Linked DNA regions of Macaca fascicularis. The protein of the gene in region 2 purifies or fractionates together with the protein of the main gene of each other region. This does not show direct contact. Links are inferred from orthologs where the notes say so. Each region holds a gene or a part of one and is shown on either strand. Other genes may lie near its edges. The genes, in order: SOD1 and RNF19A.

Region 1 (4,291 bases), on a different chromosome or scaffold from region 2:
GGTGCTCCGTGGCTACATACAGAAATCAAGGACGTTACGAGTAGATCTCAGGACTAAAATAAACACATCATCCACACCACACCGTCATACATGTTTGTGTCTCTTGTTTTTAGCTTGGTTTTCAAATAGGGACAACAGTTAAGGGGCATTAACCCTTAAGACATGACTTTCCACTGGAAAATACCACTGCTCAAACGAAGGATTCTGGCAATTGCGGCCTTTTAAAAATTCTTTTCTTTTTCAGAATAGACACTGTGACTCTTCTACAACCTCTAATTTTGGAAAAACTCAAATGTGAAAGTTGTCCCTCAAATATGCTGTGTTATCAAGAGCACAGGGCCAAAAAGAGGAGGTTCTTTCAAACCTCCATTTAACGGGTAATACATTGGGAACATGTAAGTAGCTGTGCTTAGGTACAACCCTACAGGGACCAGGCTGTGAACTCAAGTGAGTAACACAGGCCTGGAAAGCTCCAGCAGTACTGTCCTGGGCTAATGAAGGCTCAGTATGAAGAGATCTCCAACAATTCTTCAAGAGAAGCTAGGAAAACTGGACTATTAGGTGAAAGATTCTGATTTGTAAAAACTAGCCACGAGTCTAAGATTTTAAACACGGAATAGGCCACGCCAGGTAGTTTATAGCCAATTTATTATCTCTGCATATCTGGAAAGCTGGAATGCTCCACTATCCAAGGCTCTTTCTCAGGTACAAGGGGCACCAACCAAAACGAAGTCAGGCGCTTAAAAGAAGGAACTATGCACGCTGCTCAGGGAAGGTGGAAAATGACAGAAACCTGGGTTCATGCATGGATTCTCAAAGGCCAGGGAGAAGGAATTCCACAGAGGCGTCTTAAGACTAGTACTGGTGGCCGGGCGCGGTGGCTCACGCCTGTAATCCCACCACTCTGGGAAGCCGAGGCGGGTGGATCACCAGGTCAAGAGATCGTGACCATCCTGGCCAACATGGTGAAATCCGGTCCCTACTAAAATACAAAAAATTAGCTGGGCGTGGTGGCACGCGCCTGTAATCCCAGCTACCCGGGAGCCTGAGGCAGGAGAATTGCTTGAACCCAGGAAGCGGAGGTTGCAGTGAGCCGAGATCGCGCCACTGCACTCCAGCCTGGGCAAGAGAGCAAGACTCGGTCTCAGAAACAAAACACAACACTAGTACTAGTGAATTATGTGGGAATAAGTAAAGAGGGACAAAACGAAGTCTGACAAATGAAACAGCAAAATGGAGTCAAATGCCAAAGAACCTTTTCCAGAAAATCTGGAGACGTATTAAAGAAAAAAGCTAAACTCGTATCTCCCTCATACACATTTCAGACACTTGCACAGACTAACTGTTCCTGTCCTCTCACCTTTCTGTAAACACCTTTAAAGACTGAATCTCATTCATATGATAAATATTCTCTCATGACTTTTAAGCCGAGTACGAGACAATTTTCCACCAGTTGGTAACTTCACTAAGGCTCTGGGGGACAGTGTTATCACAAGCACCTTCCTTGCAAGACGTTTTGCAATTTTACTGATAATAGTTATGAAAATATTTCTGTACATTTTACAAGAGTCGTTCAGAAGTTTGTCTCTGACCATCTTAGCAACCTGCCTACTGGCAGAGCAATTTTAAAGCCACTTCACAGAAAATGTGGCTTAAGAAATGCTCCGACAAGAGTTACTAAGTACCAATTCCGTGTAATGGAAACTTCAGGTCTTCCAATTTCCAAATCCCAAACCCCACCCACTGTCCTCAAACAACAGTCCTCAATCGTAGGTGCACATCAAAATCACATTTGGAAACTTAAAAAACAGCAATAATCACCTGCGCTGGGACAGGTTTTGATGTAATTGGTCTGAGGTTGGGCTCTGGTGTATTTTTAGTAAGATCTTCAAATAAGCTAACTGTGCACCCAAAGTTAAGAATCATCGCCCTCGAAAGTCCCCAAAACGGTCAGTTAAAACTCTGGCTCTCGGAGCTTAGGAGGAGGAAAAGGACCTCTATCCAAGGCTACCTTCTCTGCCCTTGCAGCCCAACCATGACCTAGAACAGAGGCCAACAAACTCCTGCAAAGTGTCACACAAACGGTCTCTGTTGCGTATTTTTGTTTACCAAAGCCTTTTAAAAATATAAAACCCATACTTAGCCTTAGAGCTGTACAAAAGCGGAGACTCCCTGACCCAGAGCGCTGAAGCTGGAACGCGGAGAGGGATGCTAAGACACCAGCCGGGCCCAGGCGCAGTCGCCACCCCGGGCCGGGCCTGTCACTGCGCCACTCGGTGTCCGCGGGACCCTCAGGAACGAGAACACAGCCAAGCAAGGGAGGAGCACAGCTGCTCCAAGCACCACGACAGAGCCCGCGGCGGCCGCCCACGGACCCCGGAGGGCAGCACGCCCACGCCCGCCCCCGCGGCAATCCCTCCCCGCGCTCCCGCCACGCGCAGGCCCAGCCCCGCGGCGGCCTCGGTCGCACACCCCGCACCCGGGCCCGCCCGATGACTCAGCACTTAGCCGGCACCGCACCGCTGGGGGCAAAGGCACCGACCGGGCGGCGCGGCCCGAGGCCGGGCGCGGGACCAGGGCGGTCCCGAGGCCTGGCTGGCCACCCGCTCCTAGCACAGGTGCTCGGGGCGACGAGCGGGCGGGAGCGGCCTCGCAAACAAGCCTCCGCCCCGGCCCTTGCCTTCTGCTCGAAATTGATGGTGCCCTGCACTGGGCTGTCGCCCTTCAACACGCACACGGCCTTCATCGCCATGACTTGCTAGGCCACGCCGCGGTCCTGCTTCCGAATATTGCGAGACTGACCGCAAACGCTGCAGGAGACTATGCCGCAAAGCGGGATCACGGCGCCGCGACTACTTTATAGGCCGGACCTCCGCGCCCCGCCCACTCTGGCCCCAAACCAGTCACAGCGCACGCGCTCAGCCCGCCCCCTGCGGCAGCCTCGGGACGCGAGTGGCAGGAAATGACTGGGGGCGGGGCCAAGGGGCCGCGTGCGCCTCAGACTTCCCCCCGCCCCGCAGCCGGGAAAGGTCCAGAACCCCGAAATGGAAAAAAACACAGCCTTTTTTTCACGGGGGCGTGGCCCGACGGTTGCAGGACGCGAAATTGGCAAAATGATGTAAACAAGGTACGCCTTGAAAATCTGAAGTCACTTTGTCTAGAAATGTCATTGGTTATGACTGACTTTCGCCACAGCATCTCATTTGTTACTCAGAAATTAGGACGGCCCAAGATGGATGCTTTTGTAGTTTTCTTTTTTTTTTTGTCTTGTTTTTTAATTTTCTGAGGGCATAGAAAGTCGCTACACCTCAATCCCTGGCCTCACCTTTTCTTCCCCTGCAGTTGTTTTAGTCCTTAGCACATAGTTTCTTATTTGGTTGGCAGAATTCGGTATTCTTTTTATATTTTTCCTGTTTGGCAACGCTACAACCCCACAGATAACCAAAACGGCAACTAGTTGGCTTCTAGGCATCTCCTGCGTTTTTGCCTGGCCCCAAGGCCACAACACTCAAGGAGGGTAGAATGGTGAAATAATTTGTGATGTCTCCATACAACAGGAATGATAAATATGACTTACCTTTCAAGGGAAATATTTCAAAAACTTTGATGAAATGAGAAAATAGTACAAACTACTTTTGTCCGGGGCAAAGGGGTTGTTTATTTGATTTTTGAGACAGGGTATTGCTCTGTCACCCAGGCTGGAGTGCAGTGGCACGATCATAGCTCACTGCAGCCTCGACCTCCTGGGTTCAAAAGTCATCCTGCTGCCTCAGCCTCCCAAGTACCTGAGACCACAGGCATGTGGCACCACACCTGGCTGATTTTTGTATTTTGGGTAGAGATGGGGTTTTACCATGTTGCCCAGGCTGGTTTCAAACTCTTGAGCTCAAGCCAGCGGTCTGCCCACCTCGGCCTCTCAAAGTGCTGGGATTACAGACATAAGCCACCACGTCCAGCCTAGTATTTCGTACTGAGCATGGCAAAATACTCAGACTTAATTCAAGTCCAGCGTGAAACAACGATAGAAGCTATTCCAGCCTCGTTTGGAGTACACTACTATCTATTTATTTACTTATTTATTATTTATGTTATTTAGACCCTCAGACTCTAATGCATCCTCTATCAGAGAAAACACAATTCACATTTTTTTATCATCCTCTAGGAAGTATACATATTTGCAGTTTTGCGTGTTGTATTTAGTAGTAGTTTCCAGATAATTTGTATATTCTAAACGGTTGCATAAACAGTGCAAATGCTGGCCAAACGGCCTTTGCCCAAGGCTGAAGTTTCT
Region 2 (2,915 bases):
TGCCCCCAGTCATCTGAACAAAAAGAAGTCAGCAATTATGTTTGTATTTGTTACTCTTATATTTCAGAGAAGGCAACAGTATGGAGGTGCAAGTAGATATTGAGTCAAAGCCATCCAAATTCAGGCACAACAGTGGAAGCAGTAGTGTGGATGATGGCAGTGCCACCCGGAGTCATGCTGGTGGTTCATCCAGTGGCTTGCCTGAAGGTAAATCTAGTGCCACCAAGTGGTCCAAAGAAGCAACAGCAGGGAAAAAATCAAAAAGTGGTAAATTGAGGAAAAAGGGTAACATGAAGATAAATGAGACAAGAGAGGACATGGATGCACAGTTGTTAGAACAACAAAGCACGAACTCAAGTGAATTTGAGGCTCCATCCCTCAGTGACAGTATGCCTTCTGTAGCAGATTCCCACTCTAGTCATTTTTCTGAATTTAGTTGTTCTGACCTAGAAAGCATGAAAACTTCTTGTAGTCATGGTTCCAGTGATTATCACACCCGCTTTGCTACTGTTAACATTCTTCCTGAGGTAGAAAATGACCGTCTGGAAAATTCCCCACATCAGTGTAGCATTTCTGTGGTTACCCAAACTGCTTCCTGTTCAGAAGTTCCACAGTTGAATCATATTGCTGAAGAACATAGTAAAAATGGAATAAAATCTAATGTTGATTTATATTTTGGTGATACACTAAAAGAAACAAATAACAACCACTCACATCAGACAATGGAATTAAAAGTTGCAATTCAGACTGAAATTTAGGCCCATAAATGCTGCAAAATAATTACCACTGTACAACCGTGTTTGGAGCTGGTTGAACTACATGTGACTTCTTAAGTTTCAGGTTACAGCAAAAGCCAGGTTTCATTATCATAATGCAGATACATTTTCTGTGTTCAGCAAGGCATTGTGTGTCATGTGGATCTTAGTTACCAAACTATGAAATGAAGGCTTTAAAAGTGCATTATTTTAAGGATAATAAATTTGAAGAGCAAAGCACGTTTTGTGTGTTTGCCACAAAACATTGCTTGAAGCACATACTTAGATAGAAATTGATCTTAATTTATAATCAATATAAAATACTAATGCAATTCTACAGCATTCAAATGAAAACTTGAGGCTTTAGGGATAAGTGGTTAGTGATATTTTATTGAAACCACTAAGAGATAAGTTTAAAGGAACTGCATAGGTTACTCTCAGTATATGATACTCTTTGTAACATTTCTATTTATATCTGGGTATAAATTTCATTTTTTTTCTTCATATGCAATGTGGTTATATAAAGCTTAAAGCAGCTCATTTGCTACCATTTGGATACTTAGACACTTTGAGCAAGATTGTGGCAGTTTTTGCACAACTTTGAAATAGAAATACGTGGTACTCTATCTTGTATATTGTTGATGCCATCTTAGAGGAAAAATGTAAAGGTAAGTAATTAAGCATATGACAGCAACAAATAAGATATATAAAACTACAAAATAAAGTCCCATTAGGTTATAAGTATTACAAAAAAACCACCTTTCTCTAAGGGGAAATTTGTACCCCATTGATTCTTGGTGCCTTTGGGTTTGACTGGGTTTTAATGGCCTAGTTATTTGAGGATTTTGCTGTGTTGTTTTCCATGTCTTCTCTGGTCACCTTGGATTATATAGAAAAATACAGGAAATAGATAAACATGAATGTGATTAATAATAATGCTGAAAAAGTATTAGCCTACCAAAGACACACTCAGGCTTTAGTGAATAACTTTACATAACCTCAATTTTTAACACATGCGTATCTTCTCCAACCATGAAATCAAAGCACGGTGCAGAGCTTGTACCAAGTACAAAAGGTCCATGTATGATTAGCATTATTTTCTTTTGGTTTTGTTTATGGACAATGTTCAGCTGACATAAGCAGAAGTTGGCCAAAATACTGCCTGTACTGTTAATTTCCTGTATAATTCACTTAAATAAAAGCAGGTTAACCTCAATGATAGCAGTTAAAATGTTCTATCTTATGTATTTCTTTTAAGTATTACCATTATGGTGCTACTGAGCGTTTTCTTTTGGTAAAAAGAAAAATGCCATGGGCTGCAGTCTTCTTCCATCACTTTTCCCTACCAGGTCCATTAATATGCTTATAACACTAGTGCCAGTTATTTTATTTGATAATGCTTATGGTATTTGTATATTTGTTTGCATTCCAATTTTGTTTAATGAGTGTGTAAACTGCATACGTTAAATAAATGTAAATACTAATGTATTGCTGCCTTCTGGTGTGTGTACAAGTGTTTTATTATAAGAATGGGAATATTCATTGGCCCTGTGGTAGTGTTCATAAATATTGCAAGCCTTTGTGATTATTCTGCCTTTTGGTCTCAGCCCAAAGGAAAGCATTTGCTGAACTTTTCAACAGTGTTAGAAACTACCCTTTTTTCCTGTCTAATTCCTGCTTTTCCACCAGAAGAAAAGATGCCATATACATAAACATAATTTTTTTGAGTAAATTGGTTGAATTTAACTTGAGTAAATATATGTATCATTAAATTGTGAAGAGAAATCAGTATTATAAATCCTCATCTTTGAAAAATGGAAAGGTCAGCTAACTTGGGAAAAGGGGAAAAAAGTAAAAAGATCTTAAAAGACTGTTTTAAGAGATTCTATTCTAGCAACATTAGATTATGAAACTGGAGCCATTTAAATTCAAGCTAATTGTAATCAGATGCTTTCTATTCTTGTAGCCTCTGTAAAATGCGTAGATGGTTTTTCTGTTTCTCTGGTATATAGTTAATACTTGATGAAAATAATTTTTTTTTGTTCTTTTTTTTTTTTTTTTTTTTTTTGAGATGGAGTCTCACTTTGTAGCCCAAGCCTGGAGTGCAGTGGTGCGATCTTGGCTCACTGCCCCCTGGGCTCAAGCAATTCTCGCGCCTTA

Evidence for each region.
Region 1: the proteins of RNF19A (region 2) and SOD1 purify together in Homo sapiens (affinity purification with western blotting, with the first as the bait; 3 studies listed by BioGRID). This does not show direct contact. The link is inferred for Macaca fascicularis from reciprocal best matches to the Homo sapiens genes RNF19A and SOD1.

Annotation. Positions count from the first base shown.
Region 1 is NC_088377.1:15,217,644-15,221,934, forward strand, and holds the start of SOD1 (superoxide dismutase [Cu-Zn]), read right to left. Parts: upstream 2,830-4,291; 5' UTR 2,753-2,829; coding exon 2,681-2,752; intron 1-2,680. UniProt on the Homo sapiens protein: Destroys radicals which are normally produced within the cells and which are toxic to biological systems.
Region 2 is NC_088382.1:109,875,538-109,878,452, reverse strand, and holds the end of RNF19A (E3 ubiquitin-protein ligase RNF19A), read left to right. Parts: intron 1-67; coding exon 68-758; 3' UTR 759-2,243; downstream 2,244-2,915. UniProt on the Homo sapiens protein: E3 ubiquitin-protein ligase which accepts ubiquitin from E2 ubiquitin-conjugating enzymes UBE2L3 and UBE2L6 in the form of a thioester and then directly transfers the ubiquitin to targeted substrates, such as SNCAIP or CASR.